4 linked regions of the Ovis aries genome follow. The main gene of each other region encodes a partner of the protein of the gene in region 4 in a complex. Links are inferred from orthologs where the notes say so. Each region holds a gene or a part of one and is shown on either strand. Other genes may lie near its edges.

Region 1 (3,942 bases), on a different chromosome or scaffold from region 4:
TAGATTGTCACAAGAAATGTTCTCCTCCTTGCCCCGCTGTAGTGTTCCCAGGACTTCATTCTGAAACACTAAAATCAAAGCAAGAATAAGTTCATGGGCCAATATTGCTCCAGGATGCTTTAAGTCATCCAGTCCTCACTTTATGCCCAACCAAACTGGATGTTCTCCTCCTCTGTCCCAGACACTGCTCCCTTGGCCACGTACCTTTGATGTCATCCATCTGTGGAGAGCCTGCCCGGCTGCCTAGCTCTTCAGAATCCATACTTTGCTCACTTTCAGTTTCACTCTCTTCTTCCATGTTGATTCTGAGTCCTGAGAATCCAGAAGGGGTGAGAAAAAAGAAAACGGAAGAGCCACTGACAGCAATATATCTGCTCTGTCTGCATGAATAAATTAATGAACAAGCAGTCTGATTCTGATCCCCTGCTGAAGAAAATGGCAACTCACTCCAGTATTTTTGCCTGCAGAATCCTATGGATAGAGAAGCCTGGCAGGCTACAGTCCACTGGGCCATAACAGTCAGATATAACTTAGGGACTAAACCACTGCCAGTATGATTCTGAAGTGTTCAAACTCCCTCAAAATAACCTGATTTAGATGGTGGGTGGCAGGAATGAGGCCTAGCTTACCCCATAGATTCTGCCGTAGTTCCTCCTCTTCCTCCATGTTCATGTCTGCAGCTTTCCAGAGGTAGCCCTGGCCTGCAACTCCGACTTCTGCTGGATTGTAACCTGGAAAAGACACTGATCTTTAGCAAGGGCCCAGGAGAAGCACCAACCCCTTAGGAGGAAACACTGGTATTTCTATGGGGCAGAGAGACACACAGATGCCCCACACCTGCTGAGTTTCACACCTTTCAGCTTCACTTTCTCCTTTTCTTGGTCAGCCCCAGAATCATCACTGAACTGACCATCATCATCATCATCCTCTGCATCTGGAGGGTGCAAAGAGATCACCGAGCCCTCAGGCAGCATGATATCTGGGCCTACTACCACCTGGAGGAGAAAAAAGGAGTGGGTGGCATAAATCCATTAATGTGTGGGAAAAGTACTCCCTGCAAAGGAAAGTGACTTTACTAAGTCAAGTAGAAAGCAAATGAAAACACTGGATTGGGAATTTCAATTGAGGCTGGATTTGGTGGACATAAGGCACTTTCTGGCTCAGCATAACCACCACTCAGCTGTGCCATGTGGAGCAGGTCTTACCTGGGAAGTAAGGACACAGTGAGGCTTCAGTGTAACATTTTCCTTGACCTCAGCATTGTCACAGAGCAGAGACTGATGAATCTGTGCTCCAGCAGCAACTCGGACCCCCTGCCACAGGAAGGCCTGGTCCAGCACCACATTATCACCTGGCTCAGGACAGGAAAGACTCCTGGTCACCCATGGCTCCAATTCCAGACCAGGCCACTTTTCAGACCATTTGTGGAGAATGGGGCTGACTGACACCAGCAGAGCTCCCATCCAGCTCTACCACTCCATCCCCAAATTACCATAAATCCCCTCTTCCTCTCTAAGCTCAGGCCAGAGACCAGAACATTGCCCAGCCTGACTACCCTCCACCAGTTTTACAGCAATTTGACTATATACTGAACTTAAGAACCTGAGAACCTTTAAGATTTCTGGAGATCTCTTTCAAGAAACTTATTAGAATCACATTCCTGTCTAAAAGTAGAACCAAATTATTCTACCGCTTTTGTTTTGGTACATTTTAAAGTCAGAATCTTATTGTTCTCTTAATGGGGCAGTTTCATGAGAAGCATCACTTTCTTATAACCAAAGTGAGTTATTAAAGAGTATAAAGAACCCTAAACTTATAATCAGAATCAAGTACCTGCATTGCCTCTTATGAGCCATGACCTTGGAGGGACAACCACTTTTAGCCTTTTTGATTATCTATAAAACTTATCTATAAATAATACCTCACAAGGTTTTTATGAGGATTAAATGAAATAAAGTACACAGAACCCCTTTGTAAACTGCTATGTACTGAACAGGTGTTATTGCATGTTAATTATCCAGTTGGTCCTGAATGTGAATACAGGGTACCCTGGAATGCGAAGAGTCACCCAATAATAGGCTCACAGACCACAAATTTAAAGTATCACTGTTTTTACATCCCTGTTCCTTCCTTTATTAAGGCAGCCACTCTAGTTCCTTATTCTCAGGGACTATCCCTCTGTATCCTTTTCTGAACTCATGGGGTTCCCCCAAGTTCCTGCTCCTAGGATGGCCAGCTTGACCTCCCTACCTATACTCACCAATGTGACAGCCAGGGCCAATGACACTGTTAGTGATGGAGCAATTGCTGCCAATGACAGTGCCAGAACCTAAGAGCACGTTTTCCTCCAGGATGCTGCCATGGCCCAGGCTGACCTCAGGCCCTCGGTAGATGTTATGTCGGGAGTGAGTGCAGCTCTGGGTTGTGCTGTCAGTGAAGTTAGCCTCTGGGGTGAGAGGGTAGACCCATCGGCGGATGACATCTGCGCAGACAGCAGCATACATGTGTAGGTTGGAGACCCGGGCACCATATTCCTTAGTTGTCACATGCATGTGGATCTGGTTTCCTAAGATCTAAATGAGGAGAAAAAAAGGTCACCCAAGCAAGCAAGAGAGAAAGAACATCCCCCAGTATAATTCTCTTCTAACTTCCTTAAATTCCCTACTGCTTCTCAATGTCATAGCCAAGTGGCCTGAGACTTTTTTCTGTACTGCTCCCCCCTCACCTCCAGCTATTTTCCTTCCTCCTACAGCTCAATAAAATATAAGACGGGACCAAAAGTCTCCCCACCTACCCAAGGGAAAACAAAATTTCACATTACGTGTAATGGTGGATAGTCACGTTTTTAGCAATCGATTTGTTGATTTTGAGATTTTTTAACATGTCACGGGTGGTCAGATGGTATTGGGGATCTGACAAAAATGAAAAATGAATCTTCTGTGTGTCAGCAGGGTCTACTGTCCCTGAAGTTGGTTAAAATAAAAAAGCAAATGAAGAAAGAGAGGGAAAAAGGCGGGGTTGGAGGGGTAGGGGTGGGAAACCAAAAGTTATCAGCGTGAGATAATATTACAGCCCTCTTCTAAAGAGGCACTGGGAGCCTTTTATTACCTCCTCATTCACTAACAGGCCTCGCACAAAGTCATCTCGTGTTTGGTAGTCGAAGTTGTCTGTAAATAGTTGAGCCACCTGTGTGGAGAAGTCAGAGGGGGATGATGTTAAGTACTATTCTCTGGAAGCAAACATAGCCTCCCAGAGACATGTCAGACACTGTGACAGCAGGACATGGGCAAGAATCCCAAAAAAGTCAGCCAATGAACTACTGGGGTCAAGACGACAACACCTCCTTGCTATAGAACAGATAAGAGAGGGGGAGAAAAAATATACCTTGTCACTTAAGGGGGTGGTAATACACCCTCAGAGTTTTCCTCGGTGGATATGCAGCCTTTGACCTGAGGAGCTCACCTGAGGAGAGCAGATGCTGATGTGACAATCAAGTAAGTCATAACGAATCTCCACTCCATCTCCACTGCCCTGGAACAAGCTCTGTGGAGAAGTTACAAGGACTTAACTCATCTCTCCTGCGGAAGCCTGTCACCTTCCCACTTCAAGGACCCCAGATAAACACATACCAGAGGGAAAGAAAAACGTCGGAGGCCTTGGGTCTTCTGGAAATGGAGCACCTGATTTGTGGCACTATCCACGGCCACTACCACGTTGTCCTCATGACAACGAGTTGGGTGGCTGGGGGATGACTCCTTGAAGATCATCGTCATCACAGACACATTTTTTTCTAGCTTCCTCCTTAACCTATAAAGGACAGGAAGGAGATAGCTGTAAAAAAGCAGTCCTAGGGCTCTGTTGGTCCCAAACCCTACCTCTACTGTTTTCCCATCCTGACCTGTGTTCTTCCAGGGCTCTGGTAATATTGATGTTTGAGATGAC
Region 2 (3,941 bases), on a different chromosome or scaffold from region 4:
ATGAACTTCAGTTGTCTGTACAGGGGTTGTGATGCTTCAGAGATAATCCATGGAATTTAGCACAGCACCTAGCATTTAGCTTTCTATAAATGCTCTAACAGTTGTCTTCAGAGGTCTGGAGGGGTTACTCCAGCACACTCACGGGACACATGGCTTAAGGCTTTCTCTAATGACCTGGCTGACCCAAGCCACACTCAGTCCCCTGGCCAGTGTGCAACACAGTTGGCCTCCCCGTTTCCAGCGGGCACTTTCAGGCAGGAGCACCTCAGTTGCTCAGGCCAAGGCCTCACCAGTTCAGAGCCCTCAATCTGTGGGGCAGACTAACGTTGGCTTCCTGTCTCCTCAGTACAAGGCGGATACTCTGAAGTCTGTACAGACTGGACAGGACCTCAGAGAGGAGCACCCGTGGGTCGACTACACCTCCCCTTCCTTAATCACGCTGCTGTTTACAGACCTGGGGGTGCTGACGCCCTCGGCCGTCAGTGACGAACTCATCAAGCTCTACCTGTAAACACCGGGTCCTTTCCTGCTGCTGGACGTCGGATATGGGGAGTAGTCTCTTGGCCCCTCAGTGAGCCAGGCCAAAACTGAATAGTTTTTTCTGAAGTTTTATGGACTAAGGACTTAAAATCCTAACTCTTTGGAAATTTTTTATTCATTTCAGTCCCATCTAAAATGCATTCATGGTTCCTCTAAAGCCCAACCTAAATTGTGCTCTTATGGTTTCCATATATTTCCAGACACTTTCATTCATGTCCAGTTTCCAGGAATATAAGATTATTGGCTCTTTGACTGATGGATGAAGATGTGCCCACTCTCCCTCCCTTCACCTTCCGCACATTCTAGACTGATTTGCCAAAAGCATCCATGAAAGACAAGCAGGCCCGAGAGGGCAGCGGTCCAAACTACAGCCAGGTGCCCTTCCAGTAACCAGCAGCTGCCCAGGACCAGGCTCCATGCAGTGCTGGATGAAAAAGGCAGGCAACACTCAGGCTCCCAGCGGTGAAGACAAGCTGAGGGCTGTCATCTCCACAAAAGAATCAAGGCAAAGAGAGTGGATACTATTGCAAGAACCCAAGAACAGGTATTAATGGCCTCTTTGGCCGGAGTATCCTGCATGGCTCATCAGTTATGAAGACGCCTTCCAGAATATTTGCAAACTTAAAATTCTATATCTGGAAAAGATGTGACTTGAAACATATTTGGGTCCTGAACAGCTTTTTAAAATTGTTCTTGGGAACAAACTCAGCATCTTTTCAAATAAATTACATGGAAGATTTTGATATGGCGTTGCACTGCACTTCAAGCTGACCCCGGCCCAGCCAGAGGGCTCTGACACTAGATGTACCGTCCATCTTGGTAAAGACACTAGGCAGCCACCTTCACGTACTTAAGGCACAGTCAATTAGAACTACAGTTTATTCAATAGGAGGTGTAATCATTTTCTTTCCCAGAATGACTTGCTGCTGCTTTTTCACATACTCACCAATAAAATGGTACTACGGGCTTTGTGGGTGTTCAGTGCAATATATCAAACAGAGAACTGAGGGTCCAGAGGTAAAGACACCCAGGGAAAGGAGATAAGGAGCTGGGAAACACTGAGGAACTTTTAAAAGCTCTTAAATCAAATCTACTTCAGTAGCTTTATATTAAATAAGTTTTAATAAGTATAAAATGAGCTCTTTAAGTAACCCATCAAAATAAATATTGACATCTATTATTTACAGTTATGTAAATTTACGTTTTCTTCTCTTAGACTTCAAGGCTGGTATGTTTTTAGTGAAATGCTCACGAGCACGAAACCCCTCACATCTGCCGTTTCTGCAACAGCAGCTCCCTGACAGCTGCTGAAAGTTCTGATGTTCCACAGAAGGAAGCTCGAGCTGTCTGCCGAGTGGGGGCCGGCTCCCCGCATTCCCCACTCCTGTGCGTTTCACCTGAGGGGTGGGAATCAGCAATCATCTTCCACATCTGAGATCTGCAAATCTGCTTTGTTCGTTGACCTTTTGCCACTTGTCAACAGCCCCTTCTCAAATTCCTCTTCAGTAATTTTGCCTTTCTTTAACTTTTTCAAGAGCCTTGTGTCATTCAGAAGTTCCTCCATGTCTTCATCCTCCACATCAGAACCCTGAGTGCACAAGAGACCAACAAGCTACTGAATTTCTCAGCAACAGTGTTCTAAGTGAAACCAGCAAAATTTGGGGGGTTTTTTGGCCGCTGTAGGAGGCTTGTGGAATTCTAGTTCCCCAACCAGAGACTGAACCTGGGCGCCTCAGCCGTGAAAGCGCAGAGTCCTAACCACTGGACCGCCAGAGAAGCCCCAAACCAGCACTTTTTAATCAGTCGGGAACTACGTGCTCTTAGATCAGCTTTCACAAACAGCATGTTCCCCAACCCAAGCCACCAAGAGAGAACGAAAATCTGGGAGTCCTATGCAGTTCCTACTAAAAGGCACAATATACTACACTTCCGTGAGATTTGTTCAGAATTCTAAGTATTTAATTTTAAAAATTGCCATCTTTACCTCTTCCCTTCTCCTTTTTTCATTCAGTTTTTTCTTCTTTTCCTTTTTGGCCTTCTGCTTTGACCAAGCTTTATTTTTTATGAATTTTCTTCCGCCGTCATTTTCTGTTTTCTCTTTTCTCTGCTGCTCCAATAATTGCTTCTGCCTCTGCTTTTCTCTGATTTTGTCTTTAAATGGGATGGTATCTGTGTTGACATCCACAGGCACGAAATCTGGAAACTGCTTTCCTCTCAACTCTGGCATTTTGGGCATCCTCAGCAGGGCAAAACCTCGAGCAAGACTAGCAAAATCAAGATCTGATTAAACCAAAACATCAAGAGTTAGCACACCCAAAACAGGACTGTAAGCATCAACCAATAGAATATTCACAGCAATGTAATTTTTTTCTGTGTGATCTGATGGACTCATTTTAATTAGAATTAAAATAATTACATTTTTACTAAAAGAATACTCACAGCCAGTACCTAGTCAAACCCAAGGAAGACTTATTTTTATTTTTGGGGAGGCTATGCCACACAGCATGCAGGATCTTAGTTCCCTGACCAGGGATCGAACCCTTAATCCCTGCAATGGAAGCTCAGAGTCCAGGCAAGGCAAGTCCCAGAAAGACTTTCTTTTAAGTGCTTGGAAAACATTAACCCTGACATGGACCTAAGACAAAGCAGTTTCATATTTGTGCTCAACACAGGTGCTCAGCTGCTAAGTGGTGTCCAACTCTGTGACTCTATGGACTGTAGCCTACCAGGCTCCTCTGTCCATGTGATTCCCTAGGCAAGAATACTGGAGTAGGTTGTGATTTCCTCATCCAGGGGATGCTCCCAACCCAGGGATCCAACCCATGTCTCTTATGTCTCCAGCATTGGCAGGCAGGTTCTTTACCACCAGCGCCACCTGGAAAGCCCTTCATATTTGTAATACCTGTAAAAACCGTCAAATGTTTCAGATGGTGAGCAAATCAAACTTACCCTTTAATCTGAAGATGAGGTTGCACTCATGCTTGGCGTATGCCTGAACGTATGACACAAAAGCTTTCATGCCCTTCTCAAACACGGCTCTGTCGGCCAGGGCCATGGCCTTGAGCTTTGGAAGGAGGTCGGCTGTGTTCTTCTGGAGTTTCATCTCCTGCAGGGGGCACTGCACAGGGACCACATCGTCACTTCTGGCTGGGAACACCTCCCGCCCAAGGCTACCCCATCAGAGCCAGTGCCAGTAAAATCAAAGGCAAAACCACTCATTTTAATCTTATCCAGTGGAGGTTTTGAAGCCCAGATCCAAACCAAGTATTTGACGTGGTCCAGAAAGTATTTTAAATTTTCTAAAGCAAAGTTTAAAATCAGATTTTACATAACAATCCTGATTTCTGGTTGGAAAATATGGTAACATAGGTCTGTGCTCCCAAGTAATGACGCTCAGCTGG
Region 3 (4,929 bases), on a different chromosome or scaffold from region 4:
GTTAAGAATCCACCTGCCAATGCAGGGAACACGGGTTTGATCCCTGGCTGGGGAAGATGCCATGTGGCACTGAGCAGCTAAGCCTGTGTGCCACAACTGCTACAGCCCTCGTGCCTCAGAGCCTGTGCTCTGCAACAAGAGAAGCCACGGCACCGAGAAGCCTGTGCACGACAAGGAAGAGTAGCCCCACTCACCCAACCAGAGAAAGCCCTTGCACAGCAGCGGAGATCCAATGCAGCCAAAAATAAAACAGATACATATTTTTAAATTAAAGAAATATTATTAAAAAGAGATGGATAGAAAAAGAGGGAACCTTCCAAAAGAGAGAACGACCATTCAATGTTATTGAATTGTTATTCAATGTAGTTTATAGAATCCCCTGGTGGTCCAGTGGTTAGGACTCCATGCTTTCACTGCCAAGGCTTGGGTTCAATTTCTGGTTGAGGAACTAAGATTGCTTGAGCCCAGCAGCATGGCCCAAAAAACGGAAACCACACAACCCCTACCCCAAACCAGATAATGCAGCTTAACAATCTGCCTTAAAAATGTACTGCTTAAAACAAAACAAACAAAAAAGAATTATTTTATTGTTATCTCACAATTGTTGGAGTCTAGACTCAGATGTTTGGGTTTTCTCATCCGGAGGTTGCAGCTTCTTAACTGGTCTCTGGAAGCAGAGATTCTATTATCAAAACAGCAACCACAGTGATCCTCTAAAAGCGTGTTATTTCGCTGCTCCTCTGCACAAGTCAAGGTCCTCACAATGCCTACAAGACCCACAGGATCTGAATTCTCCACCTTCTCCCCCATTGCCTCTCCGGCTTACTCTGCCGTCATCCACCCTCCCCCAGTTCACTTTTCTTCAGCTCTATTGGCTTCTTTGTTGTTCTCCGAAGTTGCCTTCTCTCTCCAAGGCCTTTGCACTTGCTGGCTAGTCTTCTTGGAAGGCTCTTACCCAAGATATTCATTTGACTCACTCTCTCCAAGCCACTGTTCAGTATCACCATCACAGTGCTGCTAAGTCGCTTCAGTTGTGTCTGATTCTGGGCAACTTTATGCACTGTAGACCGCCAGGCTCCTCTGTCCATGGGGTTTTCCAGACAAGGATACTGGAGTGGTTTGCTATGCCTCCTCCAGGGGATTTTCCCCACCATTACAGTGAGATCTTCCTGAATCCCACACTCCCGACCAACTTTTGATGGCTAAAGGTGGATGTTTTCCATACCATAATAATCTGGTTCAGAAAGCCAACGTTGAGTGCCACATTAGACCTCACTGGACATAGAAAACCGTGGCAATCCTTGGTGATTTCTCCACTGGTCAGCCCTAGACCGCAGCTCCCAATGAGCTGTCCTTCCGCAGAGTGGTAGTAGGGACCAGGTCCTAGGAGAATTCTCCTAGAAGGAGAATTGCCTGAAGGAAGAGACTGTGACCAGTTACCCTGCAACCTGAGGGACGCTCAGTGGGCGTTGGTAATTTGTGAATGAATGAAAAGGCTCGGGCGGCCCCGCCTCCGCTACTCCTCCCCTCCTCCCCGCGGCATCCTTCTCGGCCGTCATCTATTATTCGGTGCTCATTTTCTTCTCTGAGGGCCTGCCCAGCGCGTCCCATCGATCTGCCCGGCCATCGTGCGCCTGCGTCTTTTGGCTGTCAGTCGGCGGCGGCGTGGGGAGCGCGGGGAGCGCTGGGAACCGTGGCGGCGCGCGGGGACCTGAGGTAAAGCTGAGGCTTCTGCGCTGCCAGGCCGCGCACGAGCTGGCTGGCGGGGGGGAGCCGCGCGGTGGAGGCCGCCGAACCTCACTTCACCGGAGGGAGGCGGGCTCCACAAGCCTGGTAGAGGAGGGCCCGAGGGGGTTGCAGGGGTGCAGAGCCCGAGTCGCCAGCTCCAGTGCCTCCCGGACCTGGCCGCGGAGCCAAGTGGCCGAACTAAAAGGAAGCTCGGGGAGCATCCGAGCCAGCCACCTTGTGCAAAAGTTGAGGAAATTGAGTTTCAGGGAGAGGAGGATCTGCTGGAAGTCACAGCGAGTGAGCACCGAACGCCCTGCGCACAGTTCTTGATCCTTTCCACTTAAAAGTCCTTCGTTCTTTTATTCTGTTTCTGATTATTTTAGGTGCAAGATACAAATACAAAGAGCAATACAATAAAGTCTGGCTGAGAGATCAGTTGTGATTCGGGGTTTTTGTCCATTTACAAAGGGAGAAGGCAGTGAGGGCTGTATCGGAGACAGGTTGAAGATGCCATGAACCACCTCTCTAAAGCCTGAGTGGCTAGAGAGTTTTTGCCTTGAGTCCCATCGCTCAGAGTCGTGGCAGTGGCATTGAGATATTTGTCAGGCTGCCTGCGATCAGTTATGTTCATGATTATCACCCAGAGCCTCACTGAGAGCAGGAACCTCAGATCCTAGTGACCTGGGTTCTCATGTCCCTTCTGCACATGTTTGAGCTTGATGCTTACTCTGGGTTGTTGTGAGGTTCACAGATGCTCATTCCACGAGTACTGACTGAGTGCCTGGCATCTGACAGGAATTATGTCAGGTACTAGGGATACAACGATGACAGTCAAGGAACTCACAGGAAATAGACATTTAAACAGGCAGATGGACTTCGCTGGCAGTACAGTGGTTGAGACTCCACACTTCCAATGCAGGGCGGTGGGTTCCATCCCCGGGGGTGGGTTGGGGGAGAGGGGAGTAAGATCGCACATGCCACACTTGTGGCAGCCAAGAAATAATAAAAATTAAAATAAATGGGCAGTGAATCCTGAAAGGTAGAGATAATCTGTATATAGTAGAATGGAAGCCTTTAAGGAGAAAAGAGTTACTTCTCTAAGAGGGTGGGAAGGGATAAGAATGTCTTTATACACAAGGTGATTCTTCAACTGAGTCTTTAAAGTTTAATTGGTGATTACATACTGGACACAGGAGAAAGGCAACTAAGAATAGTGATACAGGGGCCAGAATTATGCAACGGCATGGTTCAGCTGGCACAGAAAGTTTCCATGACCTGTCTATTACCAAAAACTTATATAATGCTTGTCATTGTTTTGTGTGCTTTACTTGGGTTAACTTATTTAACATTTATAACAACTCTGTGAAGTAGAAATTATCCCCCCCGCCTTAGAAAACTAAGAAAATGGAGGCTTGGGAAAGGTATGTAGCTTGCCTTGGATCATACAGCTAATTCATGGTAGAGCTAGAATTAAAATCCAGGCAGTCTGGTTAAAAGGCCTGTGAACTTAACCACCAGGCTCTTTTCTAGACACTGAGGATGCTGAGTTTTAAATGTCAGGCCCCTGGTTACCTCACCTGTAAGTGACAGAACCAGAACTCAAACTCAGGTCTTTTAACTCTTAAGGATCCAGTGTTAATACTTTTCATAGTAACATCAGATGTTATGAGATTTATATAATGGCAGATTGAAGTTAAATACCAATCTGAGGCAGTGCCTGCTGGAATTGAAAGTACCATATCTTTACTTTGTGGATGTTGTGTAAGAGCCTTTACTTTGTGCTGGGGTGTATGGGGTGTGTGTGTGTTGCAGTTTAGATACTAATGTGAGGAGCCCAGGACTGATCAAAATAATGATAAAGGAGCAACATTATTCACCAGTTTGGTGTTAAATACATTTTTGTTTCCGGAGCATTGAATTTCACTTTGTTTTTAAAAGGTTACATCATTTGTTGTAAGTCAAATAGTACTTTTATTTTAAATCAATAAGGATTTGTGAGCTTTTAATGTGCCTCTCTTCTGTTGTAGCAGCTGTAAAGAGATTTTTTTTGAATGTCAAATAATTTCATTTATCACCTTGAGTCTGAAAAAAAAAATTAACTTGGTTTGTTTCTGTAATTGGGCTCTGCAAACCTAGGTTAAGATACAAGCCTACATTTGAGTTTATAATGTTATATTTCAAGTTGGGGGTAATGAAAAAATGGGAGCAGGTGGCTGAATTAACAGAAGCATCTTAAGTCATTTCATACTTTTCAGAGATCTAATGTGCTTGTCTCTGTGCAGTTAATTCTAGTCAGAAGTTTAAAATTTTTTTCAGGGAATACAAACTCACATATCAGAAACCAACTTGATAAACTCTTACTCCTTTAAGAGTCAGCTCAAGCATTACTTTCCTATAAAACCTTCCCTGCCTTTTCTAGGAAGACTTAGGTGTTACTGTCACTGTATATGGCTACTGCACCTTAGATATATCCCTGTCATGGCATTAATGATGTTGTATTGTAATTTACTGCATTTGTCTTCACTTGATTGTCAACAACTCAAGAGCAAGAGCCAGATTTTTGTTTTATTCATTTCCCGCCTCTAGCCCAGGCTGGAAATCAGAGTATGTATCAGTAAGAGAATAGGATAAATGTGATGTTTATACTGTGGCTAAGTAGTCTTTCTTATTCTGGTTATTGGAGTTGGAAATGACATGTTTGTCATAAGTGAATATCAATAACCTAAATAAAAGTAAGATTAATACTGTGTGTGCATTGATTTTATTACATTTTTCTCTTGGTTTTCTCTGTGATTACAGTTTTTAAAAATGGAATTTCAAGCAGTTGTAATGGCAGTTGGAGGGGGATCGCGAATGACAGACCTGACTTCCAGTATTCCCAAACCTCTGCTTCCAGTCGGCAACAAACCTTTAATTTGGTACCCACTGAACCTGCTTGAGCGTGTTGGATTTGAAGGTGAGTTATGGCAATGAGATATACTCACAAAACTTTTAGGGTTCTTCATCCCAGTAATTTGTCAGCTTTATGAGGGTGAGAGAAATGAATGAAAGAAGACTAGGACTCAATGTTGGCTGGAGACGGGCCTCTTTAAATTAGAAACTTTGGAGTACTCTATTGCTGTGCGAAAAAGGTTGAGAAGAGAGTGCTAAGTGTTTCTTTTTTAGAGCTGGTCTCCACAGTGATCCAAGATAACCCTGGAA
Region 4 (4,811 bases):
TTAAATTTGAATGGTAAAAGTGGACATTCTTGCCTTGTTTCTGATCTTAGAGAGAAATTTTCTTTGACCATAAAGTATGATGTTGGGTACAGGATTTTGTAGATGGCCCTTGTGGTGCTGAAGATGTTCCTCTTTATTCCTAGTTTTTTAAGGTTTTTTGGTTTTTTGTTTTTAATTCAATGTCTGTTGATTTTTGTCAAATGCTTCTTGCATCAGTTGATATGGTCATGTGGTTTTACTTTCTAGAATATTAACATAGTTTCTCAAATTGATTTTCAAATATTGCAACAGCTTTATCTTCCAGATTTAAATTATACTTGGTAATTATACATTAATCTTCTTATTTACTTTTGACTGTGCTGGGTCTTCATTGCTTCATGCAGGCCTTCTCTAGTCGTGGTGAGCAGGGGTTACTTGTGATGCACTGGTTCCGGCACATGGGCCTCAGTAGTTGCAGCACAGGGGCTCAGTAGTTGTGGTTCTCCTGCCCTAGAGGGCGCAGGCTTTGGTAGCTGCGGCACACCACTTAGTTGCTCTGTAGTATGCGGGATCCTCCTGGACCAGGGATTGAACCTGTGTCCTCTGCATTCATTGGGTGGTGGATTCCTAAGCACTGGGCCACCAGGGAAGTTCTTACATGAATCTTTTATATACTGATGAATTTGGTTTGCTAATAATTTGTTGCAGCTCTTTGCATCTGCATTCATGAGGGACACTGGTCTCTTATTTTCTTTTTTTTTTTTTTCATATTATCTTTGTCTGATTTGGGTACTGATATATTTTTCTGTAAGGCAATTGGTCTCTGGAGACCCGGGTTCGATCCCTAGGTTGGGAAGATCCACTGGAGAAGGAAATGGCAATCCACTCCAGTACTATTGCCGGGAAAATCCCATGGACAGAGGAATTTGGTAGGCTACAGTCCATGGGGTCCCAAAGAGTCGAACATGACTGAGCGGCTTCACTTCACTTTTCAACGTCTAGCACATCTCCTCAGAGATGAGGAGACCGAATATCCACCAATAAGAAGATTCAAAGTGGCAGTTAATATGGGAGCAAAGATGATGTCCTTCCATCTGTATGGACTAGAGGCTGGGGAGTAAAACAATACGACCGTTTAGAGTTTACTAGGTGTAGACACTGTGTATGAATTGTCTCAGCTAATGCATCTTTATGAGATAGGTCCTCTTATTCTAAAAAGAAAAAAAAAATGGTCCTTGGCATCAGGGAGCTCGGTCTGCTAGAGAGACAGGCGCAAACGAACCAGTATCATGCAATGTAACAGCATTATGATGGGGCGTCTGCCCTAGGGGTAGCGGACCCTGGGGCAGCACTCTGATGGTCACCGGAGCTGAGGGACGGCGAAGTAGGGCTGCAACTTCTCCAGCGTAGCCTCGGGAAGTGGTGGGGGCCTTTCACACTGGCTGTTTCCACAGTAACAGGACTAGCCATCCTCTTGTGACGTCAACCGTCAGGTCTTCAGCGATCGAGAAGCCGAGAAAAGACACTTGCAGCCTTCCAACCTCTGAGGCGCGGACGCTTGGCGGTAAACGCAACACATCGAGTTCCAAGAGTCTGATTGGCTCTGTCAGGTGAGGGGGAGGGGCGGGGGCGGGAGTTAGCAGCGAGGGGCGTGGCCCAGTCTTCTCCCAAGCGAGAGTTTTTTTCCTAGCAGAGCGGAAGCCGACCTTTCCTGCCCCGGAAGTGTAAGCTCGGAAGTCTGCCTGGTGTGGATTCCGCCGGCAAGGCGGCTTCTTTCGCGATGCCAGGGGCAGCCGCCAAGGGCTCGGAGCTGTCCGAGAGGATCGAGAGTTTCGTGGAGGCGCTGAAGCGGGGCGGCGGGCAGCGCAGCTCCGAGGACATGGCCCGGGAGACTCTGGGGCTGCTTCGCCGCATCATCACGGACCACCGCTGGAGTAATGCAGGTGAGGCAGGCCTCGCCCCTTTCTGATCCCGATCCCCGGGCGGAAAGTCGCCCAGGCCCCACGCTGCGCCCTTCTCGCGCTCACCTTTTCTCTTTGGGCGGTAGGGGAGCTGATGGAACTGATCCGCAGAGAAGGCCGGAGGATGACGGCCGCGCAACCCTCAGAGACCACCGTGGGCAACATGGTGCGGAGAGTGCTCAGGATCATCCGGGAGGAGTATGGCAGGTCAGGCCCACGTCCTGGACCGGGGCTTGGGCCCAGTGAAGCGTTTTGCACGGGCCCCTCTCTCTCCCTGCTTGGAGCCTTTGTTGGAGCTGAGCAGCTGTCGTTACTTAAACGACCACATCTCTTCCTCCAACTCCTTTGGGTCTTGTTGCCTTCGTAGACTCCATGGACGCAGCGACGAGAGCGATCAGCAGGAGTCTCTGCACAAACTCTTGACATCCGGGGGCCTGAGCGAGGATTTCCGTTCCCATTATGCTCAACTCCAGTCCAACATCATTGAGGCAATTAATGAGCTGCTGGTGGAACTGGGTGAGTCCTGATCCTTAGGTGGACAGGACAAGTTGCAGGCAGATGAGGGAACAGAAGACCTTGGAAGTTGTTCATAAGCAGAGGTGGACGATAACCAGTCTTCTGGTTCTCAGAGGTTTGCCCTCATCCGGATTAAGAATGATTGGAATAGGTGGCAAGACTAAAATAACCCTTTCTACATTTCCTTACAGACTGACCCCTTATCTACTGCAAATCCACTGTGGCAGAGACTGTTTGGGAAGAGCTTTTATTTTTAAGATGAACCTCTGAAAACCACAGTTGATAAACCCTTTTTCACTAAACTTCTTTAAATTTTACAGACACACACACATAGATACCCATATGCATACACACAAGCCACTTCTATCCCCCCTATCTTTGTGACCTAGGAGGCCAGATATTTATTGCCATCAGTGTTTCCGGGAAAGGAAGAAACTGGGTTTGTCTGTGTGCTGAGCTGCTTCTTCCAAATTCCTCCCCTGTTTTTCTTCTGTGTCCTCCCTGTCACGTGGAGGCGTTGTGGCCACCTTTTGGAGGAGGAATTCTTTTAGAGGGAAACTCTGTTTACCCTACTCTCAGCACTTTCAAATTTCCCAAATGGGGCATTTCTTGCCTAAATTCACTGTCTTCAAAGTCAGTTGTAAAGAACTAGTTTTGGGCGGGGTAGGGGTGAAGGGAGTAAGTTGATGAGTAGGGCAAGAGGGTAGGCTGAGAGCTTGGGAGATAGAAAACCCTGGAGGGAGGAGGCTTTTAAGGAAATAGGACATTTCACATTTAGTCCATTGACCATGTGTTACCAGGCTCTGCTAGGTGGGCATTGTACAAAACGGCACACATCCCTTTCTGTTCTCTCACAAGTCTGTATTGTAGCATGACTGTGTCATATTTTCCATGCGAAACTGGCTTCTTGCAGAAGGGACAACGGAGAACATCGCAGCCCAGGCTCTGGAGCACATCCACTCCAATGAGGTCATCATGACCATCGGCTTCTCTCGCACGGTGGAGGCATTCCTCAAAGAGGCTGCCCGGAAGAGGAAATTCCATGTCATCGTTGCAGAGTGTGCACCTTTCTGTCAGGTATGGGGACTGCTAGAGCTGCTAAGAAAATTTTTAAATGAGAGAATAATGCCATCTTTGAATTGATGCATTTTAAACATTGAGGAGATAGAGTAAAACATTTAAGAGAATTTCACGTTGTTGATCCTGTGAACATTCTTAAAATATTCATTTAAGGAAGTTGAGTGAACTACTTGGCCCAAGAAAAGATAAATATTAGTTCTTTCAGAAATCAGAATAGGGTAAATGACCTTGGGGATGACCGATGCTTGGTCTGACCCCACTCAGTCTTCAGGTAAATAATAGGTCTCCAGAAAGGAAATATGTAAGGATGCAAGGATGTTGTAAAATAATGAGCCAGGAGCTGTCCTGTGTGCTCTGCCCAGTTACACAAGCAAGTTGTATTTCCAGTTCTGTGCCTGTCCCAGCAGTGTTGGGGAGTAATAAACATTAATTAGCTTCCCCTGGGCTTCCTGCCGCTTCCCAGAGAACACCTACCAGATGAGTTAGTTGCCTGTTGGAAGTTGCACGTTGGATACAGCCAGTGTCACCCAGTCCCCCAGATCCAGTGATGTTTGAAAGCTCTTTCTCTCTCCCCCACTCTTCCTCTCAGCATCAGCCTTTCTCTCCACATGCAGGGTCATGAGATGGCAGTCAATTTGTCCAAAGCAGGTATTGAGACAACGGTCATGACTGATGCTGCCATTTTTGCTGTTATGTCAAGAGTCAACAAGGTGGGTATATTTGGGTTATATTATGTCAAATTTATGAAGATTATACGTTAAAATATTAATATCTGCCCCCCTCCCTGGCCCCAATATCTATAAGAGGAGAGGAGAGTTTCTAGTACCTTTTGAAAACACATACATGGACCTTTTAAATCTCTTATTCTATTAATATTGATCCCCCCTGTTTATTCCTCCCTTGGGTGCTACTGCTGCTAAGTTGCTTCAGTCGTGTCCGACTCTGTGTGACCCCATAGACAGCAGCCCACCAGGCTTCCTTGTCCCTGGGATTCTCCAGGCAAGAATACTGGAATGGGTTGTCATTTCCTTCTCCAATGCATGAAAGTGAAAAGTGAAAGTGAAGTCGCTCAGTCCTGTCCGACTCTTAGCGACCCCCTGGACTGCAGCCTACCAGGCTCCTCCGTCCATGGGATTCTCCAGGCAAGAGTACTGGAGTGGGTTGTCATTTCCTTCTCTGTCCTCCCTTGGAGGCACCTCATTTTGGTTAAAGGACTGAAAGGAATGAAATGGGACTAAGCTAATCTTGTCAGCATGTTAGGGATCTGATGGAGAG

What was found.
Region 1: the proteins of EIF2B2 (region 4) and EIF2B5 are in contact, whole or in part, in a cryo-EM structure (PDB 6O81), measured with the Homo sapiens proteins. The link is inferred for Ovis aries from reciprocal best matches to the Homo sapiens genes EIF2B2 and EIF2B5. Residues at the interface, in NP_055054.1 of Homo sapiens: Ser12, Glu13, Glu16, Glu20, Lys23, Arg24, Asp283, Lys287, Phe288, Val289, Ala290, Pro291, Glu292, Glu293, Leu295, Pro296, Phe297, Thr298, Gly300, Asp301, Leu303, Glu304, Val306, Ser307, His309; in NP_003898.2 of Homo sapiens: Glu81, Thr84, Ala85, Thr115, Leu117, Lys186, Glu187, Ser188, Ser189, Ser191, His192, Pro193, Thr194, Leu245, Lys294, Glu295, Tyr296, Asp312, Arg315, Arg316, Trp317, Tyr319, Pro320, Ala325, Asn326, Asp329, Thr336, His337, His340, Asn341.
Region 2: the proteins of EIF2B2 (region 4) and EIF2B1 are in contact, whole or in part, in a cryo-EM structure (PDB 7F64), measured with the Homo sapiens proteins. The link is inferred for Ovis aries from reciprocal best matches to the Homo sapiens genes EIF2B2 and EIF2B1. Residues at the interface, in NP_055054.1 of Homo sapiens: Glu107, Ser108, Leu109, His110, Leu112, Leu113, Thr114, Ser115, Asn242, Phe278, Asn280, Glu281, Glu282, Ser334, Tyr337, Arg338; in NP_001405.1 of Homo sapiens: Leu71, Arg74, Phe75, Leu78, Arg96, Leu99, Phe100, Arg103, Lys110, Thr117, Phe118, Lys120, Ser232, Phe235, Leu283, Asp287, Leu288, Val290, Thr292, Ser294, Ala295, Asp298, Glu299, Leu300, Lys302, Leu303.
Region 3: EIF2B2 (region 4) and EIF2B3 share a complex: the UniProt entries of both Homo sapiens proteins name them as parts of the translation initiation factor 2B (eIF2B) complex. The link is inferred for Ovis aries from reciprocal best matches to the Homo sapiens genes EIF2B2 and EIF2B3.

What each region holds. Positions count from the first base shown.
Region 1 is NC_056054.1:203,792,582-203,796,523, forward strand, and holds part of EIF2B5 (translation initiation factor eIF-2B subunit epsilon), read right to left. Parts: coding exon 3,899-3,942; intron 3,808-3,898; coding exon 3,630-3,807; intron 3,544-3,629; coding exon 3,463-3,543; intron 3,187-3,462; coding exon 3,109-3,186; intron 2,574-3,108; coding exon 2,261-2,573; intron 1,352-2,260; coding exon 1,206-1,351; intron 996-1,205; coding exon 854-995; intron 732-853; coding exon 630-731; intron 313-629; coding exon 205-312; intron 69-204; coding exon 1-68. UniProt on the Homo sapiens protein: Acts as a component of the translation initiation factor 2B (eIF2B) complex, which catalyzes the exchange of GDP for GTP on eukaryotic initiation factor 2 (eIF2) gamma subunit.
Region 2 is NC_056070.1:52,101,035-52,104,975, forward strand, and holds the end of EIF2B1 (translation initiation factor eIF-2B subunit alpha), read left to right. Parts: intron 1-346; coding exon 347-511; 3' UTR 512-1,951; coding exon of another isoform or gene 1,952-2,128; 3' UTR 2,129-2,524; coding exon of another isoform or gene 2,525-2,820; 3' UTR 2,821-2,969; downstream 2,970-3,941. Other genes in the region: ATP-dependent RNA helicase DDX55, read right to left, coding at 1,952-2,128, 2,525-2,820, 3,490-3,658.
Region 3 is NC_056054.1:19,637,370-19,642,298, reverse strand, and holds the start of EIF2B3 (translation initiation factor eIF-2B subunit gamma), read left to right. Parts: upstream 1-1,652; 5' UTR 1,653-2,025; intron 2,026-4,527; 5' UTR 4,528-4,536; coding exon 4,537-4,684; intron 4,685-4,929. UniProt on the Homo sapiens protein: Acts as a component of the translation initiation factor 2B (eIF2B) complex, which catalyzes the exchange of GDP for GTP on the eukaryotic initiation factor 2 (eIF2) complex gamma subunit.
Region 4 is NC_056060.1:84,336,701-84,341,511, forward strand, and holds the start of EIF2B2 (translation initiation factor eIF-2B subunit beta), read left to right. Parts: upstream 1-1,711; 5' UTR 1,712-1,759; coding exon 1,760-1,922; intron 1,923-2,026; coding exon 2,027-2,147; intron 2,148-2,307; coding exon 2,308-2,456; intron 2,457-3,369; coding exon 3,370-3,533; intron 3,534-4,150; coding exon 4,151-4,246; intron 4,247-4,811. UniProt on the Homo sapiens protein: Acts as a component of the translation initiation factor 2B (eIF2B) complex, which catalyzes the exchange of GDP for GTP on eukaryotic initiation factor 2 (eIF2) gamma subunit.